Linked DNA regions of Caenorhabditis elegans. The protein of the gene in region 1 interacts with the protein of each later gene in a pairwise test. Each region holds a gene or a part of one and is shown on either strand. Other genes may lie near its edges.

What was found.
Region 2: the proteins of pph-4.1 (region 1) and EEED8.3 interact in a two-hybrid assay, tested with the Caenorhabditis elegans proteins (one large-scale study listed by BioGRID).
Region 3: the proteins of pph-4.1 (region 1) and ifb-1 interact in a two-hybrid assay, tested with the Caenorhabditis elegans proteins (one large-scale study listed by BioGRID).
Region 4: the proteins of pph-4.1 (region 1) and dnc-3 interact in a two-hybrid assay, tested with the Caenorhabditis elegans proteins (one large-scale study listed by BioGRID).

The regions. Positions count from the first base shown.
Region 1 is NC_003281.10:12,345,301-12,353,152, forward strand, and holds pph-4.1 (Serine/threonine-protein phosphatase 4 catalytic subunit 1), read right to left. Parts: upstream 6,037-7,852; 5' UTR 6,031-6,036; coding exon 5,930-6,030; intron 5,875-5,929; coding exon 5,751-5,874; intron 5,693-5,750; coding exon 5,567-5,692; intron 5,492-5,566; coding exon 5,213-5,491; intron 3,322-5,212; coding exon 3,080-3,321; intron 395-3,079; coding exon 265-394; 3' UTR 23-264; downstream 1-22. Other genes in the region: FAM172 family protein homolog Y75B8A.31, read left to right, coding at 6,348-6,524, 6,593-6,856, 6,910-7,029. UniProt on the Caenorhabditis elegans protein: Protein phosphatase which plays an essential role in meiosis and in early embryonic mitosis.
Region 2 is NC_003280.10:5,412,730-5,415,905, reverse strand, and holds EEED8.3 (lipocalin/fatty-acid binding family protein), read right to left. Parts: upstream 1,631-3,176; 5' UTR 1,525-1,630; intron 1,396-1,524; 5' UTR 1,296-1,395; coding exon 1,116-1,295; intron 1,042-1,115; coding exon 637-1,041; 3' UTR 536-636; downstream 1-535. Other genes in the region: EEED8.14 (MATH domain-containing protein), read left to right, coding at 1,892-1,975, 2,024-2,392, 2,441-2,635, 2,686-3,099.
Region 3 is NC_003280.10:5,763,620-5,771,632, reverse strand, and holds the start of ifb-1 (Intermediate filament protein ifb-1), read right to left. Parts: upstream 6,016-8,013; 5' UTR 5,992-6,015; coding exon 5,859-5,991; intron 3,412-5,858; exon of another isoform or gene 3,288-3,411; intron 2,689-3,287; exon of another isoform or gene 2,673-2,688; coding exon of another isoform or gene 2,633-2,672; intron 2,535-2,632; coding exon 2,284-2,534; intron 1,987-2,283; coding exon 1,865-1,986; intron 1,820-1,864; coding exon 1,031-1,819; intron 921-1,030; coding exon 719-920; intron 672-718; coding exon 564-671; intron 107-563; coding exon 1-106. UniProt on the Caenorhabditis elegans protein: Cytoplasmic intermediate filaments provide mechanical strength to cells. Essential protein, involved in attachment structures in epidermal cells that connect muscles to the external cuticle. Required in morphogenesis and epidermal integrity.
Region 4 is NC_003280.10:3,552,253-3,555,143, reverse strand, and holds dnc-3 (DyNactin Complex component), read right to left. Parts: upstream 1,365-2,891; 5' UTR 1,309-1,364; coding exon 1,237-1,308; intron 1,187-1,236; coding exon 1,064-1,186; intron 1,019-1,063; coding exon 908-1,018; intron 856-907; coding exon 755-855; intron 706-754; coding exon 597-705; 3' UTR 527-596; downstream 1-526. Other genes in the region: W10G11.19 (DUF4105 domain-containing protein), read right to left, coding at 1,749-1,964, 2,008-2,374.

The DNA.
Region 1 (7,852 bases):
CAAATCGGTTTTAAAAATGAATAGCATGAAATAAATTTTAATACTTTTTTTTGTCGAAAAAAAAATAAATCCGTAAAATTTGGAGGGGGGTGGACATTTACAGAAAAATGTGTGTGTGTGTGTGGAAAATAATAATTAAATATTGAAATATTTTTGTGGGAGCAAAAAAAAAAGGAAAAAAATGGTGTTTCGGCGATATAAAAGGGGGAGATTCTTCGGAATTTTTGGGCGAGAAAGAAATTTCGAGAAAATTTCGAGAAAAAATTAGAGGAAATAGTCGGCGTGCGGTTTTTTGGCCGGTGCTCCGCGATTTTCTTGTGGAGCAGCTTCGAAAATTGTGAATTCCTTGTTGAGATTCTCGTCGAGCTCGAGAATTGCCGCCACGTTGCCGCATCTGGAAAATTTTCATTAAGTTTTTTTTTACTGCAAAAAAAGCTCAAGTTTTCCGGGAAATTCAATTTTTCTTTTGAAACAAATTTTTGGGTTTGATCTACAAAAAATGCGGGATTTTTTTGTCCAAAAAATGTGACGTCAACACGTTCTTAATCATGCAAAATCAGTGCGTCACTTCTCCCGCATTTTTGTAGATCAAACCGAAATGGGACACTCTGGCACTACGTGATTTTGGCGGGAAAATTTTAAATTTTCTGGAAACAAATTTTGGCGGGAAAATTTAAATTTTTTGGAAACAAATTTTGGCGGGAAAATTCAAATTTTTTGGGAACAAAGTTTGGCGGGAAAATTCAAATTTTTTGGAAACAAATTTTGGCGGGAAAATTCAAATTTTCTGGAATCAAATTTTGGCGGGAAAATTCAAATTTTCTGGAAACAAATTTTGGCGGGAAAATTTAAATTTTCTTTTAAAAACATATTTTGACGGGAAAATTCAAATTTTTTGGAAACAAATTTTGGCGGGAAGTTTAAATTTTTTTGGAAACAAATTTTGGCGGGAAAATTCAAATTTTTTGGAAACAAATTTTGGCGGGAAAATTCAAATTTTTTGGAAACAAATTTTGGCGGGAAAATTCAAATTTTTTGGAAACAAATTTTGGCGGGAAAATTCAAATTTTCTGGAATCAAATTTTGGCGGGAAAATTCAAATTTTCTGGAAACAAATTTTGGCGGGAAAATTTAAATTTTCTTTTAAAAACATATTTTGACGGGAAAATTCAAATTTTTTGGAAACAAATTTTGGCCGGAAAATTCAAATTTTTTGGAAACAAATTTTGGCGGGAAAATTCAAATTTTTTGGAAACAAATTTTGGCCGGAAAATTTGAATTTTTTGGAAACAAATTTTGGCGGGAAAATTTAAATTTTCTTTTAAAAACATATTTTGACGGGAAAATTCAAATTTTTTGGAAACAAATTTTGGCGGGAAAATTCAAATTTTTTGGAAACAAATTTTGGCGGGAAAATTCAAATTTTCTGGAAACAAATTTTGGCGGGAAAATTCAAATTTTCTGGAATCAAATTTTGGCGGGAAAATTCAAATTTTCTGGAAACAAATTTTGGCGGGAAAATTTAAATTTTCTTTTAAAAACATATTTTGACGGGAAAATTCAAATTTTTTGGAAACAAATTTTGGCGGGAAAATTCAAATTTTTTGGAAACAAATTTTGGCGGGAAAATTCAAATTTTCTGGAAACAAATTTTGGCGGGAAAATTTAAATTTTTTGGAAACAAATTTTGGCGGGAAAATTTAAATTTTCTTTTAAAAACATATTTTGACGGGAAAATTCAAATTTTTTGGAAACAAATTTTGGCGGGAAAATTCAAATTTTCTGGAAACAAATTTTGGCGGGAAAATTTAAATTTTCTTTTAAAAACATATTTTGACGGGAAAATTCAAATTTTTTGGAAACAAATTTTGGCCGGAAAATTCAAATTTTTTGGAAACAAATTTTGGCGGGAAAATTTGAATTTTTTGGAAACAAATTTTGGCGGGAAAATTTAAATTTTCTTTTAAAAACATATTTTGACGGGAAAATTCAAATTTTTTGGAAACAAATTTTGGCGGGAAAATTCAAATTTTTTGGAAACAAATTTTGGCGGGAAAATTCAAATTTTCTGGAAACAAATTTTGGCGGGAAAATTTAAATTTTCTTTTAAAAACATATTTTGACGGGAAAATTCAAATTTTTTGGAAACAAATTTTGGCGGGAAGTGTAAATTTTTTTGGAAACAAATTTTGGCGGGAAAATTCAAATTTTTTGGAAACAAATTTTGGCGGGAAAATTCAAATTTTTTGGAAACAAATTTTGGCGGGAAAATTCAAATTTTTTGGAAACAAATTTTGGCGGGAAAATTCAAATTTTTTGGAAACAAATTTTGGCGGGAAAATTCAAATTTTCTGGAATCAAATTTTGGCGGGAAAATTCAAATTTTCTGGAAACAAATTTTGGCGGGAAAATTTAAATTTTCTGGAAACAAATTTTGGCGGGAAAATTCAAATTTTCTGGAAACAAATTTTGGCGGGAAAATTTAAATTTTCTTTTAAAAACATATTTTGACGGGAAAATTCAAATTTTTTGGAAACAAATTTTGGCCGGAAAATTCAAATTTTTTGGAAACAAATTTTGGCGGGAAAATTCAAATTTTTTGGAAACAAATTTTGGCGGGAAAATTTAAATTTTTTGGAAACAAATTTTGGCGGGAAAATTCAAATTTTCTGGAAACAAATTTTGGCGGGAAAATTTAAATTTTCTTTTAAAAACATATTTTGACGGGAAAATTCAAATTTTTTGGAAACAAATTTTGGCCGGAAAATTCAAATTTTTTGGAAACAAATTTTGGCGGGAAAATTCAAATTTTTTGGAAACAAATTTTGGCGGGAAAATTCAAATTTTTTGGAAACAAATTTTGGCCGGAAAATTTGAATTTTTTTGGAATCAAATTTTGGCGGGAAAATTTAAATTTTTTGGAAACAAATTTTAGCGGGAAAATTCAAATTTTCAGAAAAAAATTGTATTTTTTCCTAAAAATTATACTTTAAATGATAAAAAAGTGACCAAAAATTTTAATTTTTCGTCTTTTTCACGAAAAAAAAATTTCCGTTTTTTTTCCAAATCCATCCCGTACCGATAACAATAGTTGGGCGCCGACCAAACAGTGAGCACTTTCTCGTTGAAATGCCATTTATATCCTTCCATAACCAATTGATGAGCTCTACAGATCAAATCGACTCCGTTCGTTTCGCAAAACGTTTTCGACGCGTCCGCTCCGAATAGATAACCGGCTCCGCGTGGACTTAGGCCCCATCCAACATTTCCTTCTTCGGGGTCCGACCACAGTAGATCACACATTGGACCGTCGTGGGGAACCTGGAAATTTTCAGAATTTTTTTTCGCTTTTTTAGCACAAATTTATACGTTTTTCTATCAAAACGAACAAAATTTGATTAAAAAATTGATTTTTTTTTCAATTTTTGAGGCGGAACGGTGGTTTTGCAAACCTGCGGCGCGGTTTGATTTCTGTCGATTTACGGTGGAGTTTGTGCTACACGTGGATAAGCGTTTTTTTTTTTTTTTCGAATTGTTCTTCAGTTCTGTAATTTTTTTTGTAAACACTATTCAAAAAATATATATATATGGACCCAATTTTTAATGTTGAACACCAAAAAAAATTGGCAAAAATGGCCCAAAACTGTAAATTTACTATTAGAAAAAATTAAAAAATTAATCGACGCTTGTCCGTGTGTATTACAAAATTCTCCGTAAATCGAAATATAGCAAACCGCAGACTTGCAAAACCTTCGCCCCGCTGGAAAAAAGTGATTTCTCGAAAAATTTAACGTAAATTTTGAAATTTCGCTTCAAAATATCCGAAATAGTATCAAATTCAGAAAAATAAAAAGATTTTTCAATTTTGAATTCCCTCCAAAATGAGAACTCAAACTCCGCCCACTCCATCTGATTGGTTGAAAAGTGGGCGGAGCGAATCGCTGATTGGTTGAAGACAAAAATCGCGTTTTTGTGGTTTTTTTCTGATTTTGAGACTATTTTTTGAATTTTTTAGTATTTTTCGGGGAAAAAATCGAAATAAATGAAATAAAAATTAAATTGGTCGATTTTGATGAGAAAAAATTAGAAAAAAGTCTGAAAATTAAAAAAAAAAATTTTTAATGAAAAAAACGGAAATTTTTTTTTAAACGGAAATTTTCGGAAATTTGCCGATTTTCTGGTTATTTTCATTTTCGGCAATTTGCCGATTTGCCAGAAAATTTTAATTCCGGAAATTTGTCGATTTGACGGTTATTTTCATGATCGACAAATTGCCGATTTGCCAGAAAATCTTAATTCCGGAAATTTGCCGGAAATTATCAATTCCAGCAATTTGCCGATTTGCCAGAAATTTTCATTTTCGGCAGTTTGTCGATTTGCCGGAAATTTTTAATTCCGGCAATTTGCCGTTTTTCCGGCGAATTCGGCAAATTTCCGACTTGCCGGAAATTTTTAAATTCCGGCAATTTGCCGATTTGCCGGAAATTATCAATTCCAGCAATTTGCCGATTTGCCGGAAATTATCAATTCCAGCAATTTGCCGATTTGCCGGAAATTTTTAATTCCGGCAATTTGCCGTTTTTCCGGCGAATTCGGCAAATTTCCGACTTGCCGGAAATTTTTAAATTCCGGCAATTTGACGAATTGCCGGAAATTTTCAATTTCGGCAATTTTCCGATTTGCCGAAAATTTTTAAACATGGCAATTTTCCGATTTGCCAGAAATTTTTAATTACGGCAATTTGCCGATTTGCCGGAATTTTTTAATTCCGGCAATTTTTCGATTTGCCGGAAATTTTCAATTTCGCCAATTTGCCACAAATTTTTTAATTCGAACATTTGCCGATTTGCCAGAAAATTTTAATTCCGGCAATTTGTCGATTTGCCGGTTATTTTCATTTTCGGCAATTTGTCGATTTGCCAGAAAGTTTCATTACGGCAGTTTGTCGATTTGCCAGAAATTTTTAATTCCGGCAATTTGTCGATTTGCCGGTTATTTTCATTTTGGGCAAATTTGCCGGTTTGCTGATTTGCCGGAAATTTTTAAATTCCGGCAATTTGCAGATTTGTCGGTTATTTTCATTTTCGAAAATTTTAAAACTTTCCGGCAAATTCGGCAAAATGCCGGAAATTTAAAAAATTGTAATTCACCGAATTTTAACCGAAATTCAAAGCAAAATTCCATTAAAAACAGCATATTTTTTGCGTTTTACCTCCTGCTTCCGATCAATAACACGAATCTGATCCATAGTACTAATCGACGGGGATAATCCACCATGAACACAGAAAACCTTCCCATCAATTACAGCGGCAAGTGATAAGTAGTCGAAAACTTCGGTACAATGTTTCCAAACAGACGCATTTCCATATTTCCGAAGGCATTCATCATAGAACCCGTAGACTTGAGTAATCTGGCGACTTTCGTGATTTCCACGGATCAACATCATTCGATCCGGATAGCGAGCTTTCAGTGCGAGAAGTAGAAGGAATGTCTGGAAAAATATCGATTTTTTGGGAGTTTTTTTTGCAATTTTTTCGCCAGGAAAATTGCAAAAAAGCGGGGGCACCTCCACAGAATAGAAGCCTCGATCCACGAAATCTCCGAGGAACAAATAGTTGGTGTTCGGCACTGGTCCGCCGACTTTGAAGAGCTCCATTAAATCGTAGAACTGGCCGTGGATGTCTCCGCAGATCTGGAAATAGAATTTAAAATGGAAATTTTGATTTAAAAATCGATTTTATCCAACCAACCGTCACCGGAGAATCGATAACCTGGACGTTGCCCTCTTCCGCTAGGATTTCACGAGCTTTTGCGCAAAGTGTTTTGACATCTTGCTCCGCGATGAGCTCACATCTCATCAGCTTTTCTATGTGGCTGAAAATATTTTTTTTTTGTTGATATTTTATTGTTTTTATATCAAAACTGCTACCGATCCAAGTCATGAGTTGTTAGCTGGTCCGATGGGCCGGAAGTCGGTGAGTCGACACGTGAAAATGTGGAATTTGCAGAGTCGGTGCACGCCAGAGCCATTAAAAGCTGTAAAATACGTTGTAAATCGATTTTTTGAATTAATATTTAATTTAAAAACGAAAAAACGAAAAAAACCAATGAAAACAGGCGAAATCGACTTTAAATCCAGAGTTTTTCGTGCAAAAATATAAATTCAGTGTAATATTGGCATTGTGCCAGATTGCCAACAGAGCGCGATTGCGCCGTGTGGACGAGAGAAACCTCGGTCGCGGCCAGGAAATTTTTTTTTTTTTTTAATTTTAAAAATTGTTTTTTCGGAAATTTTCTCTGTTCTAACCAGTTTTTTTGCGAATAATTCAAATAAATTTCAGTGAACAATGTCAAGTTTGGCGAAACTCGGGTACTTTTTCGACGAAAAAGGCGTGCTGAAAACGGAGAAGGACAAAAAACCCTTCAAATTCACTACACAGGAGGATTATGAAGAACTGGGAGAAGCAGTTGATCTGGAAGTTTATGAGCTTCTGGAGACACGTTGTGGGCTGAAGAGAAAGGCGGTAAATTAAGAAATTTTTAAAAAATGGAAAAAAAAATTTAAAAATCAAAAAAAAAAATTTTTTTTCAGCTAAAACTTCCAGGAAAAACCGACGAGGATGAGGATCTAAGCTTCATTTTTGTGTCGAAAAATTTCAAAAAAGCTGCAAATCTTCTAGTATTGATCCACGGAAGCGGTGTCGTCAGAGCCGGACAATGGGCTCGTAGACTCATTATCAATGATAATTTGGAGTGTGGAACTCAGATTCCGTATATCGAAAGAGCTATTGAAAATGGATGGGGTGTTGTGGTGATGAACACTAATTTGAATGAAAGTAAAGATCAGGATTTGAAGGTGTGAAAAAACCCGGGAAATTTCGAAAAATTCGCTGAAAAATCGATTTTCAGTACTCCCGCACACCTGTCGAGCACGCTGAAACTGTCTGGATAGCGTGTATTGAGCCATCGAATGCTAAGAGCATCTACGTGGTGGCTCACAGTCGTGGTGGTTACGACACAGCCAGTGTGGTGGGATTTTCAGCACTTTTTTGGCAAAAAAAAGCGAAAAAATCGATGTTTTTCCGATTTTTCAAGGCGAAAATCCCTGTTTTTCTGAATTTTTTAAAGGAAAATGCAATTTTAATCTATTTTCAGCTTTTTTTTTGGCAAAAAAGAGCGAAAAAACGACATATTTCCGGATTTTTAAGGCGAAAATCCCTGTTTTTCTGAATTTTTGAATAAAAATGCGATTTTAAACTGTTTTCAGCTTTTTTTTGGCTAAAAATGAACGAAAAAATTGACTTTTTCCGAATTTTTAAGCCATAAAACCCTGTTTTTCTGAGTTTTTGGATAAAAATGCGATTTTAAACTGTTTTCAGCACTTTTTTTTTGGCAAAAAAGAGTGAAAAAATCGACTTTTTTTTTGATTTTTTAAGGCAAAAAAACCCTGTTTTTTTGAATTTTTGAATAAAAATGGGATTTAAACTGTTTTCAGCTTTTTTTTGGCTAAAAAAGAGCGAAAAAACGACTTTTCTCCGATTTTTTAAGGCAAAAATCCCTGTTTTTCTGATTTTTTTAAAGGAAAATGCAATTTTAATATATTTTCAGCTTTTTTTTTGGCAAAAAAAGCGAAAAAACGACATATTTCCGGATTTTTAAGGCGAAAATCCCTGTTTTTCTGAATTTTTTGAATAAAAATGGGATTTTAAACTATTTTCAGCTTTTTTTGGCGAAAAATCGACATTTTCGCGATTTTTTAAGGCAAAAACCCCTGTTTCAGGTCTCGCCACGACAAAATTGTGTTCAAGGAATAAGAAAAAAAGGTATGCGCCTTTAAAGATTACTGTAATTT
Region 2 (3,176 bases), on another chromosome or scaffold:
ACGCAAAAATTCCTGCCTGATATTCTGCCGGCCTTTGCCTTCTAGGGGCCTTCTGTGTGCCTGCAGACGTGCCTCCATTTTTATTTGTTACTTTTACAAAGAAAATAAATTGAAGTTTTTTTGGTTCAGTCATTGTCCAAAAGGTATGAACAGCAGGCAATTAACTACGCACGTTGGTAGGCAAGCAGTCTTGAAGTAGGTAAGTAGGCAGGCAGGCTTGAAGTAGGCGTGTAGGCATGTAGGCAAGTAAACATATACTGATTTTATATTTTGCTTTTATATACTCTCTGATTGATTCCAGAGAAAAAGGTTTTCAGTTGGACAACTTTTTTTGTATTTTAAAATCCAATTCCCGGACTGATCTGGGTGAAAAATTGTGGAATATTTCGGGTTACGGTAGCTTCCGATCGTGTCGAGACGGAAACGAAATTTTGTACCAAAAAATGCCAAATTCCGCGAACCAAGCAAGTAAAACATGCCTATAAAATTCTCCGCATCTGCAAATAAGTTTCAAATTTTAAATCGTCAATCGAGAAAGAAGAAATCAAAGGTTTATTGTCACGGTCAACTTGGTTGAAAATACGAATTAAAAATAACGGCGTTAAATGGAATAAAAATAGTAATATCATAAGTTGTTCAGTTAACACGCTTGTATACTCTCTTGCACCGAAAGTTCCCTCTGCTGTTGAAAACCACAAGATTTCCATTTTTGATGAGTCTCTCCACTTTCCAAACAATCGATCCGTCAGCAATCCTCTTGCAAATGGTGCTCATCATGTTTCCTTCTGCATGCGTTGAAACCGCATTGTCGTCCCTGGCAATTGGCTTATCAAACTCGAAAATTGTAGGAATCAGAGATTTTCCGAGCAAATCGGTGTGAACATGAAGTTGATTGCCGTTCATCTTGTAACAAGTAATTCCGTGCTCCCAGGCCATTTGGGTTATCTCCGGGAACTTTTCGAGAGTGAAATATTCTTGGAGATTTTCAGAGGATGCAAGTTTCCATTTCCCGATCATGGCAGTGAGGATTTGAATTGGAGCCTGAAAATTGAAAATTTTACATCAGCAAAATGAAAAAGTGAATCTATTCCCCAGCAATTAAAACTTGATCTCACCTCTTTCTTCTTCTTCTCATTCGAATTGATATTTACTTCTTTAACAGTATTTCCTTTCGTTGAAACATATTGAAAATTCTCCGAGTTGTCAGTATTTTCAATTTTCTCGAACTTCTCTTCTTCGACCATTTCGAAGCTCGAATCGTAATCGATATCATCAAGAACTGAAGCAGTTGACATTTTCAGTTGGACTGTGGAGAATATAGAAGAAATAGGCGCAGGGAAGCAATGTGGTCGTTGCAGAAGGAATGATCAACAAGGTGAACGGTAGAGAATACATCTGGAAATTAGAATATTTACCGGGTAGATCAATTCTTAAAGTTTTGTTTCTAATTTCGAGCTTCGAGTAGTTCTAAATTTAAAACGGTTTGAAAGTTAGTTTTTTTAAATAATAATTTTTGATACTTACTTTGAAAAAAATCCAGCAGACTTATTGAAGCGAAGAGTAGAATTAAAACCGTATTATTCAATCAGAAATCGACAGATATAAATCTAGATTTTTGATTCATTTTTCGGAAAAAAACTTTGTATACAGTACTTTAAAGGCGCACGCATTCATTTTTGTAAACGGTCTCCTAACGAAATACAGTAACCTTCTTGCTCAGCTTTCGTTAAAATCTTTTGTTTCTGAGTACTGCTGATTTTCGATTCGATCTGCGCTAAAATTATTTCTTCCGTTGTTCATAAATTTCTAGAAAAATAATTTTAAAGGATCTTTACTGAAATTCGCGTATTTTCAGCGCTCACTGGAGTTCTCAACACACGAAATCGTCTAGATGGAGAATTTCCGGGATTATATACATTCGAAGCTTCAAAAACTTCATCAAGACACGGAGAAGATGCTTGATATGCTTTATCAGGTTTGTAAATATTAAGTGAATTTGTTCTCAACGTTTAAAAAGTTTTAGGATCCTCCAGTTGATCCACGATGCACCGAACATTTTTCCTTGCTTGATCGAAAAGTGGAAATAATATCGGAGGTTCAAGCGATACAAGAAAAGAAAATTGGACTTCTCAATGAGAGTTTGATGAACATTCAGAAGCAGCCAGCGACATCAGAGCCATCGAATGCAGAATTTATTTCGAACACCAAAACAGAACTTCGAGAGATGCGTTCAGAAATCAAGTATGTGGAAAGTGAGCAGAAGCTGCAAGATCACGAACTTCGATTGATGAGAAACGATCAAGATAATGATAAAAAATCAATTCAAGCTTTGAGCGTCGAAGTAACCGAATTGAAAAGTACCCAGAGGGATTCTGAAAATGAAAATGAATCGGTGATTGATTTTTGAATTTGAAATTTTTTAATAATCTTTAATTTTTAGATACAGTACCAAGAATTCAAGATTCACAAAGAAGAAGTTCTCAATGACGTGAAGTCAATTCATGGCGAGATTATGGAGATGAAAAAGAAACAAAATGTTTCCGAACTTTTCAATGAGGAAGTTATCAAAGAGTTCAAAGCAATCAACAGAGAGATGAAAGCTCTTGGAGCAAAAGGTTATAATGAGAAGAAAGAGGTTTGTTTCTGGAAATATAAAATAATTGGAATTTGATTCGATTTTTTTAGAAAATGGTTCTGATTGAAGAGGAAATCGTTGGAACATGGAAACCTTCTTCATTGCACAACTACCCACATTGTGCAAAACCTGAGGATCCAATTAGAAAGAGTCAATGGCTGAATGGACATCTGAGATATTCTCTCCACGGAGAATACTTGACATGGAAATTATTCGTTTTAATTGATAATACCTGGGATACTGTCAAGGAAACAACAATTCTTCTTGGATATGAAACGAAATATTCCGATCACACTGAAACTTGGACTTTCGAGAATAATCATCTCATCATCATTTTCAAAAACCGGACTGATCACACCATCATCAAGAAGTTCTTCCAGTTCACTGTCGACGGAAAGTTGCATATTGTATATCACAATTTGGTGGATGACGTCACATGCACTCGAATCTACGAAAAAGAGTAAAACACTCCTCGAAACTAATGCATTTTGTTGTTTCATTTTTGTACATTTCTGTTATGTTGTTACTGTTATAAATTGTT
Region 3 (8,013 bases), on another chromosome or scaffold:
TCACCAATGACGTCACAACATTGGCTCCGATTCCCCAGGTGTTCTCTCCATCGAAGACAAGAGACTCTGGTGGGTTGTTGATGCCTCCTTGGTCACGGGCGTAGATCTGGAAATTTATTGGAATTGGAATATTCTCTTTTCGAAATTATGTAGATTAGTTTCTCAGCAAATGCGAGAAACCCTTAGACTAACCCGAAACGATTAAATTTCATAATGAGACCTCTCAGAAAATGTTTCCAAATTTCTTATGGTGGCTCAAAACTTGGGGAAAACATTTTCAAATTTCTAAAACCTGTAACTCTGATAAAGAGCATTAGAGAAATAACAACTGATTTTCCGATATTGCTACATGGACAATCTCACAAAATTTCAGATTTTAGCAAAATTTGGCCATTCCCTTTCAAAATTTTTTTTTTGGAAATTTTCAGGTGAAAGTACGTTTTTAACGGGCTTCAGACTATGTTGGCTGGGTTTCTCAAAAATATAGTGGCAGACTAAAAAAATACTAAGAATATTTACATAGCTACACACTTTTTTCTAAAACAATGATAAAAATAACTTACGGTCAAGTTCTTTCCTGGCTTGATAACAACATTGGCTGGAATGGAATAGACAATTTCGCGTCTTCCATCCAACTTTCTTCTGATTTTGTGCTCACCAACATTCTCATCCTGAAATAAAATTTTCAACATTTCAAAACCAAAAAGCTTCAACATACCTTGTTTCTGTGCGAGTTCTCAAGCTTGATGAACTTTCCATTTGGATCACACTCGGAAATTGTCACATTTCCCTTGGCGGATCTTTGGAAGGTGGTCTTGGTGGATACCTCACCGCGAACTGATCTTGTCGAATCAGTGTTTTCTTGTTGTTGGAGAGAATGCGTCTTGACGGCTTGCTCAACCATTTGGGTGAGTCCGACTCTGCAAATATATTTTTGAAACTTTTGAGAAAGGTTTTAGAACAAAATGATAACAAAACTGCCCAAAATTTGGCTTGCTGGGAATATTGATTAAATAACGATAATAATTACCTGGTCTCTTCTCCCTCGAGCATTTTTCTGTAGATGGCAATTTCGGCGTCAAGCATTTGCTTGGTATCCAAAAGAGCTTGAAGCTCAGCAACCAATGTTTGGCATTCCTCACGCATTCTTCTCAATGTAGCATCTCTGTCGTTGAGGGCAGCTTCGTATTGTCTTTGATCGTCGGTCAATTGGTAGTTCAAGTTCTGAACTTCCTTCTCCAAAAGTGAGTTCTTGTTCTCCAAATCTCCCAATTTTCCGCGGAGATCTCCAATGTTGTCTCTCATTCTCTTGACCTCATCCCTCTGGTAGGTGGACTCCATATTGGCACGGTTGGCAGATCCTTGAACCTCGGAAACCTTGAGCTTGTACCAGGACTCCATGTCTTGCTTTCCTTGCTTGGCAATGATATCATACTCATCTTTGATATCACGGATGGCAAGAGCCAATTCGTTTTTGAAGAACTCTCTGGTGTCAGCTGGAGCCTGAGCAAGGAGAGCTTGAAGTTCCTTAACCTCTTGTTCGTGAACTCTTCTCAAGAATTCGAGCTCCTCCATCAAAGTCTGCACTTGATTTTGGAAGTCAATTCTGCCAATGGTCTCATCATCAAGATCGCTTCTGGCCTTCTGAAGTTCTTCCCAGATTCTCGAGTTGTCAGCTGTAACACGCTTCTCCTCATCTGTCAATTGCTTGAAACGAGCACGGAGCATCTCAACTTCGGATTGAGCATCAGCGATAGCATTGGTCCATTGGGAGATCTTCTCGCGATCGGACTCACGGCGTTGCTGGATATCTTCGTATCTGAATAAATATTGATAAGCAACAGAAAATTAAGAATAAATAAACCTGGATCTGTACTCAGCCAAGTCGTCACGGTGTCTGGCAACTTTCACATCAACCTCTGCCTTTCTACGAGCAGCATCGTCAATGTCCTTACGAGCTGTTGAGAGGGATTCGGAGTATTTGATCTGAAATTAACAATTTGAATAGGAAAGAAGCTTTAAGAAGTTTGTTCCAAAATATAGGTTGAAATTTTAAAAAAACACTGGACAGGAAGCGCACAGATTTTCTTCTGGTAAGTTGAAGATTTTAAGGATGTTTGAGAGAATTCTCTAATATAGTAAATAAAATCTTGAAAGTTTCGAATATATATCTAAATAGAAATTACTGATTCACAATCAAATAATAAATGTTTTTTCTACAACTACTTCAGTTTTTTGCTTGCAGAAGCTTGCTTAAAATTTATTTGAAATTCACTAAAATACCTTAATCTCGGATGTGTCTTTTCCCCATTTTCCGCGAAGCTCATCCAAATCAGCAACCAATTTACGGTTCTGCTCTTCGAGTTTCTTGACACGATCAATGTAATTTCCGAGACGATCATTGAGTCCCTGCAGTGTCTTCTTTTCCTTATCAGTCGCCTCAAGGAACGATTTTGCTGCGTTTGCGGACAAGGCCGGTGAAATTCCTCCGACTGTAGCTGATCCCATCTCTGTCACCATCTTTAGCACGCGTCCTGAACGTTTTTATAATGATAATTAGGAGATTAGATTTGATTTGAGTGTTTTTATATTTCTATTGGGAATTTATATTTCGATATTCTTCTATTCTTACCTCCTGACATTGGTGCCTGTGGCGCTGATTCAGCCTCCATTTCTGATGTGTTTTAGCTTGAAATTTTAAAGTTTTTCTAGAAGATTAAGGGAAAAAAAATAATGAGGAACAAGTTCGAAAATTTCTGAATGAAAAATGAAAAACAAATGGTATAGAAACTAAATGTAAGTGTCACAAACACTATGCAAAATAACGGAAACCGTCGACCAATTCTGACCCTCTTCTGAATACTCCACCCAACGAAGAAATAGCATTAAATTTGTGGAGAACTTAGAGAAAAAGAATGAAGGTGTGTCAATGGTTTTGCCTTCCCGATCATCACCGATGATAGAAAATGGAGAAAGAGAAGAAGATATAATGGTGATAAGTTGAAGACAACGGACATGTACACATACGTACAGATTGCGAGTTGACTGTGCCTATGAATGAATGGATAAATTGGAAGAAAAGTGGAAAGAGATCAAGACACTACTTACTTAGAAATTGAAGATGAAGAATACGTCAAGGTTGTTGTGGGCGGAGTCAACTAAAGATAATCATCTTGATCAGATCTCAATCATTCATTTTTGTTATCTTTTTTAAATTGCGGGGAAGCTAATTAATTTAACTAGGATTCCATTTTTGACATTTTTTGGTAAGGGAGATATTTTTGTTTCAGAAACTAAATCTAATGGTAGGAAGGCTTATTTTTAGGCCAACGTACCTGTTTTATTTTTGTCAATTTGATAGAAATTCAATTAAGAAAAACATCATTTCCAGTCCTCAAAAATGTTTTTAAGTTTAAGAATCTTGAAACACGGGCCGCAAAAATTGACTTATCTCAAGTTAGAACAAAATTGGTTAAAAAATTAGTTTTGACAACTTAAATGTAAGATGGGACATTTCTAATTGAAAAAAAAAACTCTACACCATCTTGCAATAAATCGGAGAAATCCGAGATTCTATCCGAGAAGATCTCATAAATCAAGTGATAATCAGTATAATAAGTTCTTGTCACTGTTCCACCCAATTCTCACTCATTAAAACTAAATGACTAATCACACATAAAAAATGGGTGTTTTCCATGTCTCAGTTTCTCATCATTCAAAATAGTCACATCTTGGGTGTGGTCATTCCTTCCTTTCTCACCTATTTCTCATCTATTTCGTAACTGTATTCTAAATTAAAAGTTATTCAGGGGATTCTTTTAATTTTAATTCGTTACCCAAAAAAAAACAAAATTAAAATAAATGATGAATAAAATCAATAAAAGCTCGGATTTCTTCAAAGTCCGTCAAGTTTTCAAGTGTGTTGAGCAGTCAGCCGGCTGGCGGAAAGTGTGCCCAAGAAACAACAAACTAAACATTTTGTTGACTTAATCGGCTCAATGTATCTTTTTATACATGTTATCTCAACTGGTTACGAAAATTGAAATATTGTATTTAAAACTGTCTGAAATTTTGGTGCCTCTTTCAATCTGTTATTTGCTTTTTGCATTTTATTTCCAAAAATGTTGCCATTTTTATGTATATGCATAGTTGAAGACTATTTGCCTAACAACTCTTTCTGTCATGCACTATAAACTTGATGGAACTTGAACTTTTAAATTCAATAGATTTTTGGTTTGAAAATGAAGGGCGTTCCTCAGTGATTATGCTAATTGTGAGACTGTATCGAGAGACGAGAAAACCCAGAGATTTATGGGATTTTTTGGATGAGAAAAAGTGGATTTAATGACGGTTGAATAGGAAACGATATGGGCTGCCGGAAAAAAATCTTGTGGTCTTATATTTTGATCTTGATCTCCAGATTTGCTTAAAACAATAAAAAAGAACAATTTTTCTTTTGTTATGGTAATGCCTGCCTATTTTCTATTTTCACAGTGAGTTAACTTGCTCAAAGAACAACTAAAAATTACAAACATAAAAGATAACTTGTGTTTAGGCAGCAGATACGTGCGTAGGCTTACGGCAAGTTATAAGAAGCTAATACTATGTAGTAAGTTTACGTACCTAAATCTCTGACTTAACAAACAATTTTCAATTTCAAATTTTTACTGTTAAAAACTGTTTTTAGCTTTTAATTAAATATATTTCGACTGCAGTTTTTGAAGTTTTAATTATCCTGACATTTTATGCTAAAATTGCCAATTTCAAATTTTCCCCATTTTTGCCTCAAAACTCCAAAAATATTAATATTTGTTTAATTTTTGAGGAATTCCCCCATTTATTCACAGAAATTTCACTTCATAAAAACCTGTTTCTAGATTTTTGTTAAACTATGAAAAAGTGTGGTTTCTTGCCAAGTGAGCAAATATTAAGAAAACTCATTAAATTAAAAATTGCATTTAAAGGCATAAAGTATTACTTTTTATCTTTTAACTTTTATAATTTCGAAAATAATTGATTTTAAGTGATATTTTTAAGCAGAAGATTTTGGATCAACTCCGAGTAGAAAAAATGTAAAATCCCTGCTCAAAATATTATCCTCTACCAAACTGTTCACCTTTCTCAAAAACGTTTCGTTTAGCCAAGAACAAATCAACGCGTTCGCACTGATAACGACTCTTGCTCTCTTTTTCTCGTTTTTATATTTTCTTTTCATCCTCCAGGTCTATATTTCCATCCTCATTTCTATTGTATAGCACAGCAAAAACCAATATTTACTTCATCTTCCAATTGATTAATAAAACCACCCAAACTATTTTTTTGCAATCGGATGAACGAGAGAGAGAGAGAGAGAATAAAGTGTTCGGTTCGATTGATGCGACTGTTCACTAATTCGCTTTGAATTCAAATACATAATTATGGATGGGTAGTAGACGGATAAACATGTAAACAGAGAAATAGAGAAAGAAAGGAAAAAAGAATATTGGAATATTGGTTCAGTTAATAGTTGATCGGATGTATAGTGTCAACTTGAATTAAGGTCATCTATAAGACCGGTCCAGGAGAAAAATAGCTTGAAGGTTTACTACTTTTGAAAAAATAAAAGTATATTCTGAAACTCTCAATCTAACAGGAAAGTATAGAAAATACGTTGGAAATTGAGTGATCTCTGAAGCTTAGACTTCAGTAGGAAATTTTTTTAAAAGATATATAACTATCCGGATTTCAAATCAAGAATTTGAAACAAGAAATGCTCCTGGTATTGATGATTATTTTCAGAGGAAAGGATATAGTAATAGCTGAAATTTTTTTTAATCTTTACCGTTTTCAACTTTAAATTTTTTTAAAATCTAACTAACCTCCGGATCCTGCTCCATTTCCACCAGACACGTAGTTTCCAGACTGACGTGATTGAGAGCGAACCGCTGTTCTTGGCTGGATGGTGGATCTGTATTGCATCTCGTACTCGGAAGATTCCTTGTGAGACGACATCTTCTTTCAGAAGTTTGACGCTACCTGAAATTTTTTTTTTGAAAATATAGAAGCTGAATTGGGAAAATACAGAAAACTGAGCAAAAAGTAACAATTACAAATTTTAATAAAAAGTGTTAAACCTTAAAACAACAATATGATAAAAAAAAATGTTTCTGCATCCTTCGGCATCCAATTTGTTCCTTATCAAAACCCAAATAAGCGTGGCCGGTTTTCAACAAACATACACACTCATATATATGTTCAACATTTTTTTGAGTACACTCCACAAAAAAACAGAAAACAAATAAGGTGGAGGAGGAGTGACTGAACACGCCCATTTTTGTTCATGGAAATCAGAATTGAATATGGGTGGAAGGACATGATGGTGAGTCAACGTTAACCTGTCAAACAAATTGAAACACCCAAGCACATTCCGGAGAATTGTTAGATGGAAGAACAATAGAGATTGAATTTCTCGCGCATTGTGCAGGGAAATTTGCAAGAATTGGGTGGAAAATGACGAGAAAATGATGGAAGTTAAATGATTTTATTCATGATTTTTTTAAAAGATTATCTTGATTTTTTTTTATTTCTGCAGACTACAGTAAATGCTTCTTATAATTGTTTTTTTCGAGCAACGTGAAATGATCGCAAAATAATAAAAACCTTCTAGGTAGGCACGAAACCTACTAGAATTCACAGGAAAAATAGGATGCAACCAAGTACGAAAGCCGGCAAAAAGGAATGATTTCATGCCTATCTCCTTTAAAGACTTAATTGTTCAGATCTGAAAAACTTTCTAAAAAAAGTGGGACAGCGAAATTTATGTTGCATTTTGTTTCGTAAAGTTTTCAACTTTTATGAATGATTTTGAAAATGAATTGCTGTTTTTTTTTTAATTTTAGTATTCATATTTTCATACCTAAAGCTTGTTGACTCAAACTTAAAATCATAATAAAACTAGCAAAAGATGTGAAGAAACATGTGGGTGTTCAGTGAGTCATAAAGTTGGAAATTTATTGAGTAATTGTATGACCAAGTTCTAATTGACACTACTTGAAATCCTAAACCATTCGGTTACTCATTCACGATAGTTTAGAAAGCTTAAAGTAACTTTGGGGTGGAGTGAATAAAAGTAGAAAAAGACACAGTGCTCCTGCTCTGCTCGGAGTAAAAAAGTGAAGCGAAAAAAATGAAATCGGAAAGACACACACACACAAGCATTCCTACAGAATACCGAAAGGGTATTGTGAGGACGGTCTGTTGCGCCGGGGGTCGATGAGGCAGAGGCCCTGAGAAGCGCCCCCACCAATTGCTCCGCCCCCATTTTGTTGCCGAACCGTCGAAAAACGAGCTGCTATTTGCGTTCCTCCTTCTTTTTTCTCTCTGCGCGCTTCACTTTTTGAAATGATGCGCTTGGCGTATAGGCGTATTCCGAGAGAATTTAGAAGAGATGACGACTACTTTTACCTCATAGGAAGTGGCCGATTATCACAGTCAAGGACAAGAGAGAAATGATTTGAAATGGAAAAATGAGGAGATGTTAGTGAGGGAATTGGAAGAGGGGGAGAATAAGACATTGTTAACATTTTGTTTTCATTTATGGGTGAGAATGATGACAAGATTGGAGGTACAAGTGATCAAATAGTTCTACGAAAATGTTCCGTGCTGGCTAAGGTTTTGCATTTTTAATGTTGGGCTGTGGTAAAAAAATTAAGAACTCATTGTCAGTAAACAAGTTTTGTAAACATTGAAACCTGTAAAAAAATAGTTTAAAATTATCGCCGTCCAGTACTAAAGCTGAGGCATACCGTATTTTCCCTACAAAGTCTGCACCACAATTACTCTACTTTGACGGCCTATTTTCCAATTGTCTCAAGTGTTATCAAAAAATTCTCTACAACCAAAATATAGAGACATATTTGGTACATATTTGGTAGTTGACAATTTATTGATAAAATTTAAAGCAACCGAGATATATTCTGCCAAAGTAGAACCAGAAGATACAAGTCTAATAGGAAGAATACGGTAAGTTGAGGC
Region 4 (2,891 bases), on another chromosome or scaffold:
ATGGTTAAGAACGTGCTGATTCCCGAATTTTTTGTAGATCAAACTGTAATGGGACAGCCTGGCACTATATGAAATTTATTGGGATGCAAGTACGCTCCACTGATAATTGATTTCAAAAAAATTTTAAAAATACTGATGCAAGCGCGCTCTACTGGTAATTAGCTGTAATTTTGGATTACAACTGCGCTACATAGAGATTTTGGGAAAATTTTGAAAATTACCTTGCTGCAAGCGCGCTCCATCGAGAATTACTAAAAATTTTGGAAAAAAGTGAGGTGTAAGTGCGCTCCACTGAGAAATATTCAAATTTTCGTAAAATCTAATAATGCAAGCGCGCTCCACGGAGAAAAGTTCAAATTTTTTGAAAAATCTAGTAATTCAAATGGAGAGAAAACTATTTTTCTTGCGAGGAAAAAAATTGGAAAAAAACAAATTTTCCAATTTCCCGAAACAACGTCATCATCTTGCCCACTTCGAAAAGTCGATAATTGCTGCCAATTCGTCTTTCTGTCTAACAAAAAACTTGTAGAATTTCAATTTTTACAGGAAAACAAAGAAAATAAAAATAAATTACAATCCAGCGAAAAAATATTTAATTATTTAGCTTTTGCGTTGATTTTCGTCTGCAGATCCAGCACTTTTTCGGTGATTTTTTGGTTGATCATTGACCGCTCGGCGACAAGTGTCTGGAATTCTCCGTAGGTTCTGAAATTTTGGAAATTTCAGATTTTTAGGCTTTAAAAACTGCAATTACTTGGTCCAGTCCTCCAGGGCCTTCTCGTATTTTTCGATTTCAGCGTCAAGCTCCGGTTGAAGTGCAGCCACTTTTGAGAAGAGCTCCTGGTCGAGGCAGGGCTGAAATTTTTTATTTTTCTTCAATTTTCTCTGAAAAATCGCAAAAAAAGACCTCAAGAGCATCTGAAAATTGTTTAATCCGTTCCGCTCGTTCATTGATCAGCTTTTCCGCGTATTTTACAGACTCTATTTTGTCAGTCAGCGATCCATATGGGCCGGATGTCTGAAAAATCGATTTTTCACAGAAAATTCAGTTTTTCCAACGTACTTCCGTGGCGATTTTGCTCAAATGCTCCAGCTTTTGAATGGGAATCGACATTAGCAGATTCGCCTTACAATCATCTCGTAATTTGGATTGAAGAGCCTCGATTTGAGAGGGAATTGATGTTTTCTGGAAAAAAAATTGGCATTTTTATTGGAAATTGCGCGAAAAAAGCTTACCGTGGTGAGATCATCGATTCCTAGAACTTCTTCAATTTCAGAAATCTTTTTTTCAAGCTCGATCATGTCCATTTTCAGATTTAAAATCAAAAGATCGAAAAAGAAAAATAATAATTGAGAAATTGTGTGCAATGGGACGTGACGGTGTCAATGCGTACTTTGCATTTTATTTGACGCGCAAGTGATTTTCAGTGTGGAAACTAGGATATCGCCTGCAATTCTACATTAAAATTGTCTGTTTTTTATTAAATCTTAGTATGAAAGCTTAAAACTGAAAATTTTCATCGAAATTTCTTGTTATTTCCTTAAAACAGCTAAAAAAAGGATTCTTTTGTCCGCAATCTACCGTGGCGGTGTACCTGCGGAACTGGCATTTAAAATGACGAGCAGGGAAAATTAATTAATTCTTAAATATAAATTTTTAATGCAATTTTAATCTGTAAAACATCAAATTAAAACAAATTAAATTATTTATTTTTACCAAATTACAACAGAGCAATTTTTTAAAATTCCTATAGCTCGTCCCTAGTCCACTCCACGGCCGTGAACCCTTTCTCTAGCTCTTCCACGTCATCATACCGCTCCAACAGATTCAAACGAGCAATTGGGAACTTGAAGTTTTCAATGAGCTCCTGGCAGTGAACTGGCTCCAAATTCCGAACCCATGAAAGAATTCCAGTGAAATTGTCGTTTTCAGCGGGTTTTGTGTGGATGCACCATCCTTTTTCCTGGAAAAAATGAATTTAATTTGAAGTTAAAAAGTGAAAGTACCTGTCGCCGAATGACAATATAGCTCGGGGAATTCACATTAAAAACGCTCATCACATACAGTCCAAACAGGTCGAAACCGGTTACAGCCGAAAAATGAGCAATTCGATCGCCGCTTTGCTGCTCGGCAGCAGATTTTTTGAATCCTTCAGAATTTTTAGAGTCCAGTGGGTCGAAAAATACGACCAGAGGCTTCTGGGTTCCGGTGGCGAAGAGGAAATCGGAGGGACTTGACAATTGATGACAGCCCGGGTGTACACCGTCCTCCAAGTAGTCGACCATTCGATTCCAGTTGAGATCCTTATGAAGTGTGAAGGCTTTTACGAAGGGGTCATAGGGCTTCATCGTGATGAAGGCAGGGTAGATGGACCTGAAAGATCGGGAAATTTGAAATTTGGAAAATTCGAAAATTTCCAGGAAAAAAAAACCAATTTTTCTCGTTAAAATTCAATTTCTTCTGAAAAAAAATACATTTTTAGCCAAAATCCCAGTTTTGGGTCTTGGCACGAACGAATTTGGCTATCGTGTGGGGGTACTGTAGTTGGAAAGTTACGTTCGCGGCAGGACCCAAAAAGTTGCGATTACGACTAAAAACTCGGACTGGCATAATATTTTTTCGATCAAATCCATGCTTTGGGTCTTGGCACGAACAAAACTTCTCAGCTACCACGTGGTGTCAGAGTGTCTCCTTTTTGATCTACGTAGATCTACAAAAAATGCGGGAGAAGAGACGCAGAGTTCTCAATTGATTTCCCATGGTTAAGAACGTGCTGACGTCACTCTTTGCTAGGGGAAAAATTCCTGGATTTTTGTAGATCAAACCGCAATGAGACAGCCTGGCACCACGTGAGCTACCATGTGGGGTACTGTAGTTGGAAATTTTCGTT